Coturnix japonica: one gene and its partners. The protein of the gene in region 3 purifies or fractionates together with the protein of the main gene of each other region. This does not show direct contact. Links are inferred from orthologs where the notes say so. Each region holds a gene or a part of one and is shown on either strand. Other genes may lie near its edges.

Evidence for each region.
Region 1: the proteins of RBPJ (region 3) and NOTCH2 purify together in Homo sapiens (affinity purification with mass spectrometry; 3 studies listed by BioGRID and IntAct, counting the BioPlex papers as one, with this or other methods). This does not show direct contact. The link is inferred for Coturnix japonica from reciprocal best matches to the Homo sapiens genes RBPJ and NOTCH2.
Region 2: the proteins of RBPJ (region 3) and FBXO42 purify together in Homo sapiens (affinity purification with mass spectrometry; 3 studies listed by BioGRID and IntAct, counting the BioPlex papers as one, with this or other methods). This does not show direct contact. The link is inferred for Coturnix japonica from reciprocal best matches to the Homo sapiens genes RBPJ and FBXO42.
Region 4: the proteins of RBPJ (region 3) and MAML1 purify together in Homo sapiens (co-immunoprecipitation; 12 studies listed by BioGRID and IntAct, counting the BioPlex papers as one, with this or other methods). This does not show direct contact. The link is inferred for Coturnix japonica from reciprocal best matches to the Homo sapiens genes RBPJ and MAML1.
Region 5: the proteins of RBPJ (region 3) and FHL1 purify together in Homo sapiens (affinity purification with western blotting; 4 studies listed by BioGRID and IntAct, with this or other methods). This does not show direct contact. The link is inferred for Coturnix japonica from reciprocal best matches to the Homo sapiens genes RBPJ and FHL1.

What each region holds. Positions count from the first base shown.
Region 1 is NC_029523.1:4,108,379-4,111,893, forward strand, and holds part of NOTCH2 (neurogenic locus notch homolog protein 2), read left to right. Parts: intron 1-1,772; coding exon 1,773-1,885; intron 1,886-2,184; coding exon 2,185-2,714; intron 2,715-3,320; coding exon 3,321-3,515. UniProt on the Homo sapiens protein: Functions as a receptor for membrane-bound ligands Jagged-1 (JAG1), Jagged-2 (JAG2) and Delta-1 (DLL1) to regulate cell-fate determination.
Region 2 is NC_029536.1:3,778,434-3,782,645, forward strand, and holds the start of FBXO42 (F-box only protein 42), read right to left. Parts: upstream 2,803-4,212; 5' UTR 2,305-2,802; coding exon 2,235-2,304; intron 112-2,234; coding exon 1-111. UniProt on the Homo sapiens protein: Substrate-recognition component of some SCF (SKP1-CUL1-F-box protein)-type E3 ubiquitin ligase complex. Specifically recognizes p53/TP53, promoting its ubiquitination and degradation.
Region 3 is NC_029519.1:66,303,073-66,307,358, reverse strand, and holds the start of RBPJ (recombining binding protein suppressor of hairless), read left to right. Parts: upstream 1-1,484; 5' UTR 1,485-1,565; coding exon 1,566-1,594; intron 1,595-4,286. UniProt on the Homo sapiens protein: Transcriptional regulator that plays a central role in Notch signaling, a signaling pathway involved in cell-cell communication that regulates a broad spectrum of cell-fate determinations.
Region 4 is NC_029528.1:4,563,440-4,566,954, forward strand, and holds part of MAML1 (mastermind-like protein 1), read left to right. Parts: coding exon 1-473; intron 474-2,577; coding exon 2,578-2,847; intron 2,848-3,515. UniProt on the Homo sapiens protein: Acts as a transcriptional coactivator for NOTCH proteins. Has been shown to amplify NOTCH-induced transcription of HES1. Enhances phosphorylation and proteolytic turnover of the NOTCH intracellular domain in the nucleus through interaction with CDK8.
Region 5 is NC_029519.1:4,099,021-4,102,003, forward strand, and holds part of FHL1 (four and a half LIM domains protein 1), read left to right. Parts: intron 1-1,881; coding exon 1,882-2,063; intron 2,064-2,399; coding exon 2,400-2,577; intron 2,578-2,741; coding exon 2,742-2,911; intron 2,912-2,983.

The DNA of each region.
Region 1 (3,515 bases), on a different chromosome or scaffold from region 3:
GTCACTTCCCTCTACAATATCTGATTGTTCCTCTGTGCTGTCTCAGTTCTTGAACACTTCTTTTTTTAGGGGAAAAAAACTAAGACGTTGGACTTCCAGGGTTGTCTCAGACAAAAGAATCTCCTGAGACTCTTGACTGCCAATTTTGTTTTTCCAGATACTTTTCTCTCCTTCATATCTTCACATTTCTGTTGTTGAAGTTGTAACTCTCTGTGTGTCAGCTCCGCTTTTGCAAAGCAGCATGTGGATTTCCTCCATAAATCAGTGTTATAGTATCCATTATTAGCTTTTGGCCTCCTTTTGTAACCCTCCCTCTCCTTCTTCCTTATGTTGGAGATGGAGGTCAGGATGGGTTACTCTGTGCGTGGGCAATCTGTGCATTCCTCACTTATTTATGTGATCCTTCCACAATCCAAATTTGAATCAGAGCTTTGCAAAAAGAAATCATGCTACACAATCTTGTGTCTAGCTCTGTCTAGTCCTCTTCTTTGTCAGCATTACTGCTGTTCTGCTTTCTGCCTCCTGCTGGGCCTAAGTTTAAGCTAATAGTCTCCAGATGCGTCTGAACTTTCAGCTTTCCAGTCTGCATGTCAGTTTAGTTCTCGTGGATGCAGTTTTCCTCCATTAAAACCTTTCACTTTCCCTGCTTACCAGTGACCCCCTCTGCATGCTTTACCAATAGTTTTTACTTTTTTTTTCTTAAAAGTTAAAGATTTTGAGATTTTTCCCCTAACTCCGTGATTATATGATGCAAAGAAATAACAAGACTGACAAAGGAAGTTCCTGAAAGGACACTGCTGCAGGACATTAGCTTAGCAGGCAGACTTAAATACAACCCTTTTACAAGTTGTCCCTCACATTGCTTCTGGCTCTCATGGAAGGGTTGTTGGAACTTGCAGCATGGGGAGTGCAGACCTGCAGCTCCTTAGGGGGAACAGGCAGAGCTGTTGTGTCTCAGACATGAAATCTGTCTGGAAATGTTAGGCACGGGGGGGGAGCATGTCTCTTCCTCTAGCTGTTTGTCTTCTGCACATTCCACACTGACCCTTCTGCCTTGGAGGAGATGGAGGTGGCTTTACTGTGGTTTCTGACTAATAGGATGCCAGGCCTCTGTGGGCCATCCTGCCCTGTCTGCTCCTGTCTGTGAACAGTCAGTTTTGGCTTCACATGTGTAAAGACTTCTATAATATTTTCCTGGGAGGTCCAAGTCATGTTTAGGTCATCCTCATCTTTTTCAATGCTGGCGCCAGAGTTTCCCTCTGGATGCTGCTGCAAACTCCAGTCCATGCAACCTCACCATCCAGCTGATGAGCATAGGGAGGCTCTGCTTGCTCACCCTGTGCGCTGATGCTGTATCTGATCCTAAGGCATAATTTTCTCCCAGGAAATCAGATGCAGTATGTAAGATGTATGTATGATGACCTAACAGGTGTTCAGGATTCCTTGCTGTGGTCAGTTTGGCACCTATGTGACTTCCAGCATTGCTTGGTACTGAAGACATTCTATGCATTAATTTGTCCTTGCAAGACAGTGGGAGTTGTTTGCCCAGAGATTGGATTCATTAAGCATCTCCCTAAAAGTAAAGAGATCTCAGGGGAATCTTCAACATCTTCAGCCTTGGTTGATTTGAGGGTGTCTTTACCTTTTCTAAGGGGAAAGCTTTGTTGGAGTTTTCGACTTGTTGGCTCTTAATGCATATTTTGCTTGGTGATGATTTTATGATGCACACATGCATATCTCTGATCATTTCTCTCCATGTGTCTGTATCACAGGTCGTCACTGTGAGAGTGTCATAGATGTGTGTCCCAGGAAGCCCTGTCAAAATGGAGGCACTTGTGCTGTTGCCAGCAATATGCCTGATGGGTTCATCTGCCAGTGTCCTCCGGTAAGTGCTGTGTCCTGAGACAGAATCACCTGCCTCAGCTGTGGAGTCTGCTGGCTTATAGTCACATTAGTCACATTAACTTCACTAGGCTAGTGTTGGTTGAGGTTCTTCTCTGTAGTACGAGAAATAGTGTCCTCAGGCAAACTGTACACATATTCAGTTTATCTACTGGAAACCAAAGGTACCATAAGAAAGTGGCAGTTGAGAATGAAATTGCATGGGACACCTTGCCTCCACCCCTGAGAGTGCTGAAGGATAAGTATTGAGCCTGACCGTTTTCCCTTTTTTTCCCCCCCTAGGGTTATTCTGGGGCAAAATGTGAGTTCAGCAGCCACAGTACTTGTGGGCAAGTGAAATGCAAGAAGGGCGAGCAGTGCATCCAGACGTCTTCTGGTCCGCGATGCTACTGCCCAAGGCTGGCTGTGGGAGAGGAATGCCAGACCAACACAGGCTGTGCCAGCGCCCCCTGCCAGAATGGTGGAAGCTGCCACCCTCGTTTTCAGCCTCCTTACTATTATTGTCAGTGCCCCGATCACACCCAAGGCAGCCAGTGTGAACAGCTCGTACATCCCAGCCAGGAGCCTCTGGGATGTTTGGATTCCCAGTGTGCGGAAAAAGCGAGAGATGGCTATTGTGATGAAGACTGTAACACTCACGCCTGCCAGTGGGACGGAGGCGACTGTTCCCTGACAATGGAGGATCCCTGGGCCAACTGCTCCTCTTCATTGCGCTGCTGGATGCTTTTCAATGGGCAGTGTGACGAGTTCTGTAACACACCCGAGTGCTTGTTTGACAACTTTGAATGTCAGCAAAACAGCAGAATGTGCAAGTAAGGCTTGATCCTGAGGCTGGTTTCTTTGTGCCGCTAATATATCTTCTGCTAGTGCTTTCAACAGTGGGTGCACTTCACACCTGCTGCCTCAGCTTCCTGCTGCTTGATGAATGTGTTGTGCTTTCTGTGCAAATGTGAATAGCAGGTACTTCACCTCGTACAAGTTTTTAGTAGCTTTGCCTCCTGTCCTGATCCCTGCTCATACCTGCACCATCTGTATTTTGGTCCTAGCTGTTTGCTGCCTCTGAATGTGTGTTCCTGCTTGTTTGTCACGCTGCTTCTTTCTCTTCGGTTAATTACAGTAAATACTACAGTAGGTGATGTTCCCTTGAGGATGATGTAGCTTTTTTGTGATAGGCAGAATAAGCTGTTTTCTCTCACTGGTATCAGAACAGAACCATCTCTTTCTGGGATGTTCTGCTTTATACTTCTTCCCTGCCACCCATATGCTGGGGTTACATCTTTGTATCCTGAGCACAACTGGCATTTTACCTCAACCACTGATGACTACAAGCAGATGTAAAGTGTAAGCTCTAGGCTGTTGGTGTATTATACAGGATGTGAATGTCCAGTATGCTGCCTCTAACCCTCTTGCTGTTCTAGGTATGACAAGTACTGCGCTGACCACTATGCAGACGGCCGCTGTGACCAGGGTTGTAATAGTGAGGAGTGTGGCTGGGACGGTCTTGACTGTGCTGGGGATAAAGCTGAGAAGCTGGCAGAGGGGACCCTGATCATTGTGGTCTTGATGCGCCCTGATGAGCTGCTGCGTGACGTTCGCAGCTTCTTACGTACTTT
Region 2 (4,212 bases), on a different chromosome or scaffold from region 3:
GCTCCTCATCTTGCTCCATTGTTCCCTCAACCACAGCTTCTTCTGGATCCACGGCCATGAAACTGTCATCTTCACTGTCTGAGGAGCTGGCCATGGCATTCCACTTCACAGCTGCAAGTGGGGAAAAAAGAGAACACTGAGGTCACCAAAAGAAACTCAACAGCAGCAGAAATATAAACTGAGCACTACGTTGCTCAGAAAGGCCTATACAGAGCTCTGCGTCAGAAAGCTTCAAACCAAGGACGTGGTTTTTGCAGGGCTCTGAAGCAGGCTGCACACTGCTTCAGAATGAGCTCACAACTAAGCCTCCTCTGCACGTGGACAAAAGGCTCCATACAAATGCTCAACCATCGCCATCACCAAAGCAAGGAGGCTCACCACTGCTGGAGCAGCAAACACATCACAGATGTGTTAAGATTGGAAAAGACCACTAAGATCACAAAGTCTGACCACAGTCAAATCCCGATTTTAATCTTCTGGAGCTCCAGCACACAGAATAATCACAGCCACAGATCTTACTGCAAGATCTGGAGGAAGACAAACTGTGTGCAAGCAGCTTAGGGTGTAGGAGAGCACCTGCTTTGCAAGGCAGGAGCTATAGGAAGCCCTGCTGCTGTTCCCCTGTGATCTGCAGGTGTCGTGCATCCCTGCAGGTGCAGAAGTTCCAGGCAGCTTTGCCTGGTCCCCTATGCTTACAGGAGAGGTTCTGTGTCTGATGGTGCTGCTTGGCTGTGAAAGGCTTCCCTAAGAAAGAAGGTAAGGAAACAAACCTGGACCTGAGATGGTTTTTATCCTTCCTGGGATGCCACACATGCCAGCATCGATACCAGCGGCCTCAAAGGATGGAGATTACAGCAAGCAGCACCCGCAGGCAGAGTGCATGACACCACGATTAAAATCAGCCCAACTTTGCTTCCCAGCACAGCTTCCTGCTGGGCACATCTCTCCCAGACATCTTTTTTGTAATGCTCATTAAATACACACATGCAATCCCAACATTCTTGCTGCAAAATTACAGGAAGCCGACTGAAGAGGAAGCTGGCAGGGCATCGGGATGGCAGCCTGTGCTCTGGAGAGCAAGGAAATCCCTCTGCCTTCCCTTAACTGAACTGAAAATGACTGCAGAGTATTCAGGACTTCATTACGGCTTTACCAGACCTCTTGATATCATTATACCCAAATGCATTCACTTAGCTAGATCCTCATTTCCTAAGCATAACAAATTACCATCCTCCAAGTTCACACCCACAGCGTGCTATTTTTTTGGTGAGGAGAACAAGATTAGCAATGAATTCAGCTCCAGATAAACAAGTGGAAGGGATATTTGGGCACCAAGCTTGACATGCCGTAGATGCAGATCTGTTCATAGGGCATGAGACCAGGGAGCTGGGAACAACCGCAGATTGCAACACTCACCTTCCACAGTGATGGCAAAAGCCCTGTGCTATAACCCTGCCCCAGTGCCTCAAGGCAAAAAGGCCACAAAGCTCAAGCACCCCACCAGCTCCTAAAGGAGAACATCCAATATCAGTAGCTGTGCTAGCTGTCCCAGGGGCAGAGAAGCTCTCCGGATGCTCTTTGCTTGTGCTGAGCTGGGACTGCAGCTTCTACACAGACTAAAGTTAATATCTGAGCAACACCAACACTCAAAAAGCACCAAAGTGATTTGCACAGCTGTGTCTCATCAAAAAGCACGTGCAGTTTGATTCACTTGCCAGTGAATCACCCAGCAGCCCCGCTTTGCTCTGACTGACGGCTACAAAGCGTCCCAAAGCATCACCCTGTGGCTTTGCACCTTCCAGCCCCCAGCACAGGGGAGAGCTTTTACACTGCAGGAGCACAGACATATCAGAGCATTTAAAAGTCAGCTTCAAGCCTCACCAAATGATCTCAACCGCTTAAAATAATGCGTACTCAAAGGGTGATCGAAGCCAAGCTCCGCCAGCACCGATCCCATTTGTCTGACCGATCCTAAGAGCTGCTACCCTGCCAGCTGGCAAAGCATTTTATAACTCTTTTCCTCCTCTCTGTGCACTTCAATACCCCCTTCCCTCCCCTCCTGAATCTACTTAAGAACCTGCTAGTTGTTCTGCTTAAAATTATTAGCCACCGCAGTGGAACAGAGAGAAGAAACATGAAGTGCAGAGAAACTGCCAAGTGAAAACACCCCCCAAAACCTGATTGCAGGAGGCAGCTCATGCAAAACCCCTCCTAACACAGCAAGGTTCCCCTACCTGCAGGCATCACTCCTGGTCCCATGGACCCCAGCTCACAAGCGTAGGTTGCATTGCTGGTTCCCATCATGAGATCCCTCCTCCTCTGCTCAGCTGTCAAACAAGTGCCTGAACCCGCAGAGCTTTTGACAACTTCTTTTTAGAAAGTCAACAGATTTTAGGGAAAGAAAATCCTCCAAAGGGAAAGTTCTTGAATGAAAACAAGCTCTTGAATGAAAATAAGCAGCCATGCAATAGTACTGAGTCACAGCGCGTTACTCAGAAGGGAATGCTCATTTTCACATGCCACAAAGAACTCGTTATCCAAACATAATTGTAGAAGCTACGTTCTCACTTGGGAAAAAAAAATGAAGGTGTGTGTTAAATGGCCCGGCCCTGGCTGGCTGCTTTGGTTGGAAGGAGAAAGGGACTCTACATAACATTTAATTGCGCTTAGCAATCAGTAGCTACAGGGTTAATTTAGGGGTGGAAGACCCAACCTGCTCCAGACACTTCCTCATACTTTGCAAGCTCCTGTTCTGCTTGTCATCAGCTCCACTGGCACAGCAGAGCTGTGTTTAAGGAGACATTAAGAGCATTTGGGCTTACATGCTCAGCCAGTCCAAAGCAAGGCTCCGAGGGCTCCTGAGCAGCCATGCCACCAAGGGCTTGGATGGCAGCTTCCCCCCCTTGTGCTTATCCCCCCCCCTTTCAAATGATTAATGGTATCAGCAGTGTTAATTGCCTATGATCTGGGGTAGGGATATCGTTTTGTTCTTGTTAGCACAGATCAAACTTGGATCAGTGAGACCCGACTTGCTTGAAAATCAATTGCCAGACAAGTTCAGCACAGTGGGGGGGGAAAAAGCATATTTTAGGCAAGATAAAAAAAAAAACCAATAAGCAATATCCTCCCTGCACTGCTCCATGAGCATCTGACCTAACATGGCAATGCTGGGAGGATGAATAAGAGAGACCATGTGGACACCTGCACCAGGCTTTGCTTTTCAGCCCCACAAAACAGGCAGTTCCCAGTTCTTTGAAGCGCTGCCTTTCCCCTTCGGATGCTTTTCAACAGGAAATTGTCTTTTCCTCCATATAAGACTTCAATTCTAAAGAGAAAGGTTTCCTATATTCCATCTGCAAGCTGCAAAATGCCAATCTCTCCCTCTCAATGCCACCTCCCTGCTGTATGCCCTGCCTGGAGAACCAGTGCTGTTGTAAGGGCTGGGTTCCCATCTGGGTTCTAGGCACTAAGTGACCACCCCATTGACCTAAACCCAATTTGAGCCACTTCTGATAACTATTCTGCTTGGTTGCAATGATCAGCTGCACTACCTGTGTCCGGGTTTGCTCTTAATTCTCTCCACCAAAATCACCCTAAACTTGGACTTGTGGTGTTTTATGCTCATGCACTCCCTCTGCTGGCTCCCTGCAAGCCATTAATTACATTAATTCTCATAGGATCATAGAGGAAAATGTGCCAGATCACACACAGTCTGAAGATTTATTTGCACACACAAAACAGGTCAGCCTGTACACAGACTTCATACACAGATTTCAGACAGCTGAGCCATTAGGAAAACACACCTCAAAATCAATTGTGTTCTGAATGTATAAAAAATAAGCCTAAAAACACAATAGAAGCATCACTTTTGTGTTTCAAGACCTCTCAATACCCATTTCTACACCCAAAGAGCCCCCAAAAACCTGCACAGGAATAATGGGAATGCTGGTTGAGGCAAGGTTTGCTGCAGGGCAATCCATTGAGTAAATGCTCACGTGCCAACCTCTGGTGCTCCTCATGTGCATGGAAGGATTTCATGTTTGTACAGAGCAAAGCTACCCTGCAGCCTAATGGTACGAAGCACAATGTTCCTCTGCTCACTAAGAAATCAAGTAACAAGTAGCCTCGAGACATCTCCTCTGAAGCGAAGATGAGCTCAGTGGTACTGACTTTCAGGCCAATAAAAGGATGCTCTGGAAAAAGCCACATATT
Region 3 (4,286 bases):
TTCATATTCTAGGCATGAGGATGCTCGAGCAGTTTAGTGACCACCAGTTTTCAAAGTTGAGACTGAAGCAGCATGGGATCTTTCCATAGTTTTGTTCTTCCAAATGGCAGAACGTAGTTATTTTAATTATTTTTAATTCGTAGGCCTTGAAATGCAGTCCTGGGGTAGGGGGTGGGGTCAGAACAGTTAAGGTTAGCAACAGAAAGACTGTATGACAGAAGAAAGTTGGGTTGTGTTAGTTGAGTCAAAGAGGAACAGATGGATTTTCTTTGTGTTTGAGCTCTTGTGTAGATGCTAGAAACACTGGAATTTCCCATTCTTTCAGCAATAGAAAACTATATAATGTGGTGTATCCGAGTGAGGGATTCTGAATAGGATTTGACATTCTTGTATTTTCTGAAAACATTTGAAATGCATTGTGTATTTTGTGTCTTGTTTTACCTAACCTGAGAATATTAAAGCTTGAGCAGAACAAGGTTAATATTAGTGCACTTCTTCATTTCCACAGTTACTTGAGAGGCAGGCAGGTGTAGCATGTAAAGGGAGTAAGTTTGTTTCCCACTCACTACTTGCACTTCTCAATGGAGAAGTTTAAGGAGAAACAGGGAATGAACAGGGAAACAGGGCTAAATGTAGAAGATAGATTTGGAAAGAGGGATGATTTGGGTCATGATGTATAAGCAAAGTTATTTCTGTAGTGCAGAATGTACAAGTGAAATTAGTTCATGCAAACTATCATTAGTAAATACATGAAGTAATAGAATATGAAGTGGTGTTTGGAGAAAATACAGAACTGGGAAAATAATAGTTTGAACAGGTGCAGCTGTCTGCAACAGCACATTATGGCAAGCTTAATGCTGGTCTCATGTTTGCAGTGCAGTAGGTTGGGAAAACAGGTTGAGCTGAATTAGTTCTGTGAATTGTAGTGGTAACTTGACTGTATGTCAAGCATTTCAGTACAGCACACCTGGAACAGTACTTCGTAATGAATGTTGCAATCTCTACCAAGCTTGTCAGATACCCTTGAAATAACTGAACTGGCTCAGATTTTAACATGCCAGTAAATATGAAAGGTTAAAGTAGCAGCAGTCATAGCTTATACAGTGCCTGTTGTTTAGTACCGAGCTGCAGATAATGTACTTGTTGCGCTTGCAAATTCTTAGCATCACGAAATAAAAAAGCCTTCTGCATGGCAGTTGCTGTATTTTTTCACTTCTGGTCATACCATTAATACAAGTTTCTATAGCAAATTGAACGTGTATGGAAAGAGCAAACCAGATGAAGAATTAAATGTGAGAGCTGCTCTGAAAGTCTGAAGGTAATGCCTCCTATCTTATGATGTTGGCTTACAATGTCAGGCAGGTATTGGTATTATGACAGCAGAGGTTAAACCTTCCCACCAGTGTTCTGTTCCGTGTTGTTGCCATGTGACAGATGGCAGCAGAGGGCACTAAGACCAATGGTGTCTGTCATGGAGGTGTGTATGAAGCGAAGGTGTGTTGTTGAATTCTGCTGTGAGGAGAAATTGGCGCTGACTGACATTCATCAACTCTCACTGAACGTTTATGGAGACCCAACGATGGATGTTGATACGGTGAGATGATGGGTGGTGTGTGTCAGCAGTGATGACAGTGATGTATTGGACAAATTGTGTTCTTGATGGTCATGCATGCTGCAAAATGAAGACTGTCTTGATCAGCTCCTTGCTGTGTATAGGTGGTTTGTGACCAGGCGGCCGTGGATGTAGCTGAGTGTCGGCTTCTGTTTATTGGAAATAATGTGGCAACACTGAAATATCACAAGCTCTTCGTGCCAGGTCCCATGAATACTTAGACAGGAACTGAGAAAACACCCTACACAAGTATGTCTGGACCTATTAAACTGAAACAGTTTCCTAGATCACATCATCAGCAGTGATGAGACATGGTGTAACCACCACAAGCCTGAGTCAAAAGGGCAGTCCATGGAGTGTAACATTTGAATTCCCCTTTGAAGAGAAAGTTCAAGACAGCCCTCAGCAGGTAAAGCGCTGTCTTTTGGGAAAGTGGTGATCCTTTTGGATTTCCTGGTAGCCAAACAAACCATCAGCTCTGACCACTGCATCACAGTGGTGACTAAGCTGAAGACTCGAACTTCCAGTCAGGCCAGAGAAAAAGACAACCTTTCTCTTGCAACACAATAATGCCAGGCCTCATACCAGTTTGAAGACCATGGAGCACATTGCCAATCTTGGCTGGACTGTCCTACCACACCCACCGTACGGTCCAGGATTTGACTCCTTCAGTATTCTGGCTGTGCTGATGAAAGATGAGCTGCATGGGCAACATTCTCCTAGTAACAACACTGTTGTAACAGCTGAGAAACAGTGGGTCACCACCCCTTGTGCAGATTTTTGAGTGTGACATACACTTTTGTTCATTGCTGTCCAAAGTACACAGCTAATGGTAGTGACTGTGTTGAGATAGAGTTTTATAGCTGAGAATTTGCTCTATCAAGTAGTGCTATTATGTACATTGTATCTGTTGTTATTTCCATGGAAATTAATAGGAGGCGTTACTTTTAGAGCAACCTAAGTAGTACACCCAATACTTTCTGTCTTGTTTCATGTCTTATTTATATATCTTGCATTGTGCAATGTGACTAAAAAGTCGGTATCTTGGTTATAGGAGCTGCTGTGGGATATACTGTGTTCATGTCAGTATGTGGGATGGTACAGGAATCTGGTTATTAATATCAAGGGTAGGATGCACAAGGAACAGTCGTTAGTCAGCATCTCTGTTCGCTGGTGACACTGACAGGGCCTGAAGGAATTGTGTGGGACTGTGTCAGATTGGGAAAAGATTCTTCCCCACAGAGTGGTTTGCTACTGAAACAGGTTCCGCAGGCAACAAGCTGACTGAGTTCAAGAAGTGTTTGGACCACTCTCAGACATAAAGTTTGAATTTTATTGGTCCTACAGGTAGCCAGGAGTTGGACTCAATGATCCTTGTGGTTCCCTTCCAACTGGGGATATTCTGTGATTCTGTAAGGTGACATTAGTGAAGAGGTAGTAGCTGAATTTATTTACAGAGTCAAAAACTGAACCACAGTTAAGTATGTGTGACAACCTCCTGTTATACCTTGCTCTGTATGCACAGGGAAAGAGTTGCAAAAGATTCACTGAACTCACTTTGCATCTGTTCAGAAGATTCATGTTGCTACAGGCAGCACCTCTGTTCACGAGGTGATTAGAGTGAAATCATTAACTTCAGTTTGGATGAGCAGCTGGGGGAAGCTGGCATGTGGCTGATGGCAGGGCATGCCGTGATTGGAGCTCTGGTTCTGGTCCAGTTGGTGGGTTGTAAGAGGACCTGGTGTGACTTGATGCTTTCTGTGCCTCTGAGGAAGGGACCTGTTGGTACTTAGAGGATGGGTTTTATTATGTTGCAGTAATTGCAGCTGTTCTGTTTCTGTATAGGTTAGTTGTTTGTACAGTTTTTTAAGGCTGTAATTAGTGTACTCACAGAGAGAATTAATCTACTGTTTTCAGAGCTGTGCATGAGTAGATGTTGCCTTAAAGAATGAGCTGTCCTGTGTGTGGTTTCTGTGTCACACAGTTTTGAGGTGTCCTTGTGTCCTCCTCTTGGATCAGAGCTGCTGGCCATGGTGCAAACAAATACCGTGTGTGTATTGCTTCCTTTGCTCCACGTAGGCACCTCTTAACTTTTTTCTTTATGAATTAAAAGGTGCAGAGTGATTGAAATGAAGAATGTCATTCTATTCAAAGTGAGACAGCTAACCTATAGGGTTTTGTTTGTCTGTGGAGAATAGCTTAAGGGTAATCTGTTGTCTAGTCAGTGAGTCACGGAGAGATGAATCCTCTGCCATATGTACTGCTCCCACATTTCGGAGGGGACAGGAGCCACACAGGGGGGGGGGGCACACACACCTTCTGTTAGCTGGGGGTGGGGGGAGGTGTCAGTGGTTCTGATGTGCTGGGGAGGTGAAGGTCAGTAGACCTGCAAAGGATAGATGGTGGGAGGCATTGAGGTTTGGGAGCCTGACTTGCTCATTATAGCACCTGCATGTGCATATAACTGGTGCTGTTGCCGAAGTTCAGAGCTGTTAGGGATTTATAGTTTTCTGTGTAACAAACATAAAAACGTGTTTTTGTGTATTGTAAGTTTCAAGATCTGCTGGACAAGTTGTGCAGCAAGAATTTGTCACTGTTTTCTTTTAATTTAAAATAAGGCAAATAAGTGAGCAGTACACTGACAAAACGTGAACGGAGCTTAAATTAGTTCAGA
Region 4 (3,515 bases), on a different chromosome or scaffold from region 3:
AGCAGGCTTCACAAGTCCACCAAACCAATCAGATGTCTACCTGGCAATCTGGGCCTTCTCATAGCCCACTGGCTGTTCCATATACCATGGAAAATCCCACCAGCCCTTCAGTTTACCAGCCGGACTTCAACAATCAGAAGCTCATGATGCCTAATATGGGAAATAAAAGCTCTCCAAGAGCTGGAGGCAATTACCATGTGAACATATTGGGTCATCAGCAAAACAGCATGAACCAGAACCCTGTGAATAGTCAAGGCTCAATGCTGGACTATGGGAACACCAAACCTCTTTCACATTACAAAGCAGAATGTGAGCAGGGTGTTGCAGTGCCAGGTCAGAACAAGACTCCCATGTTGGCTTACATACAGCAGCGCCAGCAGCAGCCACTATCCCACGTGAGTGATGACCAAAATGGAATGATCCTGTTGAAACCCAAGTCTGGAAACATTACCTACCGACTGCCACACAGTCAGGTACATGTTCTGATCTTTGTTACTTTTGTTTAGTGACTGACTTCAGGTTTTGCGAGAGGATGTTGGATAGGCAAGATTGAAGTATGGGTTACTCGATGGTGTTTCAGATCAGCTGCTGTGTTGTTTTAAAGAAGATGGTAATACACAGGGTGCTGAGGCAAGAGTCAAGCACTGTATTTTCCACCGAGGAAAGTTTTTAATATGCAATTTTAGGTCACGTTGGTAACGTGTGGTTTCCAGCTTAATATACTTTATGGGCAACAAATTATGTCACACTTCACAGAAGGTTCTTCTTACAAAGATAAATAGATGCTTTGTAAACTTTTGCCTGAAATAGCTCATAGAAATGCAGTGTTAAACAGCGTTCTAGCAGAAGCTTTGCTTTCTTTACCTTCTCCCTCATCCCTGACTTCTGTAGGAGTTGGCTCACTATAAACAGATACGCCTTCAGTTGCTGCTTTTTGGAGAGAGATGGGAGTGAGGGCTGCATTCTTGGTTACTTGGGTGTTACTTGGTGTTTTTCAAATCTAAGAGTTCATTACTGGTTAAGTTTGTGGGAATGGGAATGTTTCTTTAATAGGTAATGTTTGTCTGCTTGAAGGCTTTCCTATAAAGGAGAACTCCATGTTGTGCTTCTTTGTCTTACAAGATACAATAAATTTGCTATATAAAGATAAAAACATATAGCTGATATTACAGATGTGCTGCAGGTAGAAACATATATAGCACGTGAAGGAGAAGACTTTTAGGCACATGCTGCCAAATCCCCACAGTGCACATACTGGAAGACTTAATGTCAAAAAAGGTCTTTATTATCAGGACTAAAACTCCTGCAAAAGCTGATGGAGCTCCAGCTCTTGTAGTGTGTTCCTTCAGTAAAGCAAAACATAAAATACATGGCATAAAGGCCTGATTAGTCTGTGGTAAAGACCGCAGTGATGTAAAAATAAAAATGAGATCAATAATACATGCTTCATAAGACACAAGGAAAATTAATCTCTTTAAAAGCTATCGGAAGTAACGATCTAATGATATTTTTGGTGAAGGAAGAAAGAGGGGAAGGGTGAAGATGATTGTGTGTGTCACATCTATCTTTTGCTGACAAACTTGAAGGTGACCTTGTCTATGCTGCCATGTTTGCATTGAAATAACAGAAATCCTTATGAATAGTTCTGGAGAATTTCTAACAAGCTTGCTTACAGAACAACTTAGCACAGCATTACCTATATTTGGCTCATGCTTTCTTAAAAACTGCAGCAAGTGAGAACCAGCAGCGCAGACCATTAGCTGAATTCTGAATGTGAAAACAAATGTGTTTGCATAATTTGAAATGAGGCTGAACTGAGCTTGAAAATGATAACAAAATGTCAAATTCCAAATAGATTCTTATGTACAAAGAGATCAGTGCCAGGTCTTGATGGATAATCATTCCATAGTACTTTGACTTAATGGCTTTTCCCGAGTTCCTATCTCCAACACAGAAAGAAAAAAAAGCAGATTTATGAGAAAATGAATACAACCAGTTATCTATAGTTGTGTTTGTTCTGTGTAGTATCCATGAAGGCTGGAGTGGTAATGAAACGTTAGGACTCTTCATTTTGGTTAGCAATGTTTTTTCACCTATGAATAGTAAATTTTGATAGAAAAAAAAAAAGTCAACATTAGGAAGAGAGGTGTAAACTTTCAGAATTAAGTGTTGACAGGAGAGGCAGGATATAACTGTACGATGAAATTTGAAAGCTGGTTGGAAAGCTGCAAACAAAGGTAACTGAAGTTGGTGCATTTGAAAGTGCTGTTTGTAATGGCACCATTCCTCTGGCTGAGCAGAAGCGCACAAAGCTGCGTTCCCCTTTCTGAGCTGGAATTTGGGAAGTACTTTAAGTGAGGCTTGAGTTAAAGCCTCTGTTCCTGTATCCGCTGGAGCTTCTGATGTTAACTCCAACTCCTCATTTCTGTGTCTTTATTTGTAAAAATCCTGTGTCCTTTACAGGAGATGATAGAACTTGTGGTCATCTTTCCTTGTCTGTGTGACTGTACAAAGTCCTTGAGTTCTAGAGGGCTCGCCTCCTTCTGTAACTCACGTAATTGTTTTTATGTTCTGCAGGATCAAACTGCATCTCCTAATGTTCCTCGTGTTCCTGTTTCTGTCCCGGGTGCTGGTGTTGGTGCCCAGGCTCCTAATGTCACCATGGCAGGGAACCACAGCAACCAGTCGTATCTTAGCAATCAGCAGCAAGCAGCAGTGATGAAGCAGCACCAAATGCTGATGGACCAGCAGAAACAGAGAGAGCAGCAACAAAAGCACTTGCTCATGGAGCAACAGAAGCAGCAGTTCCTAATGGAGCAGAGACAACAACATCTGTTAGTTGAGCAGGTGAGGGGGATGAGCTATCTCTTTTCTTCCTTTCCACTGACATGCTTTGGTTGACCTGAAGCCGTGTTTGAAGTGTTATAGAACTACTACCACCTTATGAAATATGGGATGTAATTTACAAGATGTTTTGGTATAAATCACTGTTCTGTTTCATATAAAATCAACAACAAAACTTAACGTCTGGTTGCTGAGACGTCCTTTCTGTTACAAGGCACAATTGTGAATTAAAAGGATAAAACAGCTAGAATTTAATAGTGTGGAAGTGCAAGCTGATACTTACAGGAAGAGAAGATACACCGGTGATGATATAATTCTTTGCCTTCCTTCTTTCACAAAGGAAATAAGAGCAAAATAATAAAAGGTTGGGATACCCACGATGTTTTGGAGAGCTTTGAGCAAGGGACTGTGTAAGCTGGTTGAGTTTTGCCTTTCCTCTCTGTGAGTGCCATGACAGTTCATGTTTCAAATTCTAAATCATCTTCCATTTGTTTATTTGAGGAGAATAATTAGACATCTGCATCCAACTTGCATCTTACCCTGCCAACAGAGTTTAACTCTGCTATCCATCAGACTGTGCAGAAAGCTGCTTTAATCTCTCTCAGGGAAACAGGCTCCTTGCGTGAACCTTTCTAAGCTTTAAACCTTTTGCAAGTGTTTCAGCTGGGAGT
Region 5 (2,983 bases), about 62 Mb from region 3:
GTGTGAGGCTCAGAGCTGCTGTCATAAATGTTTCCCATGTCAGCACGTGTTGTGTTACACAGGAACACAGGGTTGTGTTACTCCTTGAGCCATATGCTCGCAATTACATGTTCTGCTTGAAAGCAAACCCAAACCTGAGATGAAGAACGTTAAGATACCATTTGCTCTGGACTCTGTGCAACTGCATTTCTTCTAAATAAAACCCGCTCGCTTGATGAAGCTCAGCAGGGCTGGAGGTGGCTCGCATAGTTTCCATGTTTCCCAGCTGTTTGTTTGTTTCACTTCCTTGAAGCAGTACAAACACAGCCCTTGGCGTGGCTGTCAGCAGGACGTGGCCGTCTCCTGACCTTGGCCAAACAGCAGTTCCAGCCCCAGCCCCCACAGAGCGCAACCTTGGCCAGCTCGGCCTCTGTCCCACTTCACTTAGTTCTAAGGAAGGGAAAGGGAGTGAACCTGGCCCCTGCCTGTGCTGCAGCCTCCGTGTGCCACACTGTTCTCCCTGGGATCATCTGTCCTGGTTTCTGGAGCAGAAACGCTCCAGCTTGATCTGCAGCTCAGGCTGGTGTTGGTGTGGTTGTGCCTGGGTCAGGGCTTGCTCAATCTGATGCATGCTCGTGTTTGATGAGCAGGGGCTTAGCAGTGATTCCATGGCTGGCAGCCTGGGTTATGCGGTTGATGGTAATTCTTGAATTACTGGGGTGGGCAGGTGCCCAAGTAGCTGTTGTGTAAGCAGGTGCTCGTGCCATAAAGTGGTAGGGCTGCCTACGCAGCACCCAGCAGGCAAGTGATGGGCACTGTGCAGCTATTCCTGGGATGACAGCTACCCCACACGGCCTGACCGCTTCCTTCCTTCAGTCCATGCTGGTGCTTCAGCTCTGTCAGGAAAAGAATATCTGAACTTCTTGGTGCCCTGGCTCCATCTGGGTGCTGAGCCTGGCCTGTGAGCTCTGTAGGCTTCCTCTGAGGAAGGGCATGTGGAAAGGCAGGGATCTGCTGCATTTCATTAAGTGTAGGGAGATATTTTCTTGGTTTTTTTTTTGTTCCTCGTGACTTTGTATATGAAAGCCCAGTGACAGAGACAGCTGGAAGCTGCACAAGTATTTGGCACAAAAGGCCTTGGAGGGCTGCAGCTGGCTGCAGGCTTGGGCTGGAAGCATGGAAACTATTCTGCTCCGCTCTTGGTTGGCGGTGATTTCTGGACACAAATTAGGCGGTGCCTCAGCCAGGATCTCGCCAGGGCTGCAGCGGGTCCACCATGATGACCCAAGTCATTGTGAGTGATTAGGTACCATTATCCCTGCTTGACATGAACCAAAACAGTCTGGTGTTCTTCCTCTGAATAAGGTGACAGGGAAAGGCTGTCGTGTGGCCCTGCTCTTCCCTGAGCCATGGGGCAAGCAAACACAGCAGGTCATTCTCCAGGAGGCTGAGAGCTGCGTTTCTGTGTTTGGCCAGAGCCCATCCTGCCTCTTTGTAGGCAGAAATCTAGCATTCATATCTTGGATGGCTATTAAGGCCAAGGAAAATATTTGCGTTACTAAAACACTGCTTGTGCTAACTGCAAGCACGGTGCTTCCAGAAAGCTGGGTGGCCCCAGGAGTCAGCCCAGATCCTGAGCCCAATGGTGTGTTAACCTATCCTGGAGGCACATGGAAAGCTCTAGTGCTGGTGCAGGTGGCGGAGAGCTGGCTTGTTTTATCAAGCACTGAGCTGATAGAACTGCTGAGGTAACTTCTGCTGTCCCAGAAGCTGCTTTCTCCAGCAACAAGCCCTTCAGGCACACGACACCACCACACGCTCATAGCTGAGCCATTTTTTCATCACTTGTCAAGCCAGAACAGTTACCTCAGTGTTGTAAGTTTACCCCCATCCCTCCCGCAGGGCCCAGCAGTTACAGCGTGGGCACCATGTCGGAGCGCTTTGACTGCCACTACTGCCGCGACTCGCTGCAAGGCAAGAAGTACGTGCAGAAGGAGGGCCGCCACTGCTGCGTCAAGTGCTTCGAGAAGATCTGTGCCAACACCTGCATCGAGTGCAAGAAACCCATCGGTGCTGACTCCAAGGTAACTGCTTCGGTGCACTCAGAGGAACATGGGATCTGATTATTGTCATTTCTTAAATCAGTTTGTAAATGTTTGCTGCTATGTCTATGGCAATAATAACATACACCTGAACTGGAAGGCACAGGATGAAAAGTAGCCCTTGCTTATGGAACCCCACATCTCAAAGTTGTTAGCTTTGAAGCACCTTGTGCTACCCCCCAAATCCCAAAGTGCGTTTAGGCTCTTCACAGATGCAGCTTTTTGTATGTGATGATAACTACCATTGGGGCAGTAACTTGGTTGTATGCCGCTCAGCAAGAAGAAGGGCTTACTGCTCCCTGTTTCTGATCATTCCAGGAGCTGCATTTCAAGAACCGTTACTGGCATGACAGCTGCTTCCGCTGCTTCAAGTGCTACACGTCCTTGGTCAATGAGCCCTTCATGCTGAGGGAGAACAACAAGGTCTGGTGTAGCAACTGCACTGCCACTGAGGATGCACCCAGGTGTAAGGGCTGCTTCAAGCCTATCATCGCAGGTAAGGCTCCTTACTAAAATCAGATGTAGAAATTAAGTTGTGAAGAGCTGTTTAAGTTCTGTACGTGCAGATCTCTTCTACAGCCATTACGCTGCATGAAGTCATTGTATGCTTGTCACAGGCCTGAAATCCCACCTACAGTGTTCTTTTTTTTTCTGTTGTAGGAGACCAAAATGTTGAATACAAGAAGATGGTCTGGCATAAGGACTGTTTCACTTGCAGCCAGTGCAAGCAAGTGATTGGAGCTGGGAGCTTCTTCCCGAAGGGTGACGAATTCTACTGTGTCTCCTGCCACGAGCACAAGTTTGCCAAGACCTGTGCTAAATGCAAGAATGTAAGTCCTTCCCTTTTGCCACCACAGCTGCCAGAACTGGCCTGTAGCATGTGTATTAGAAGCTAGGAGAGT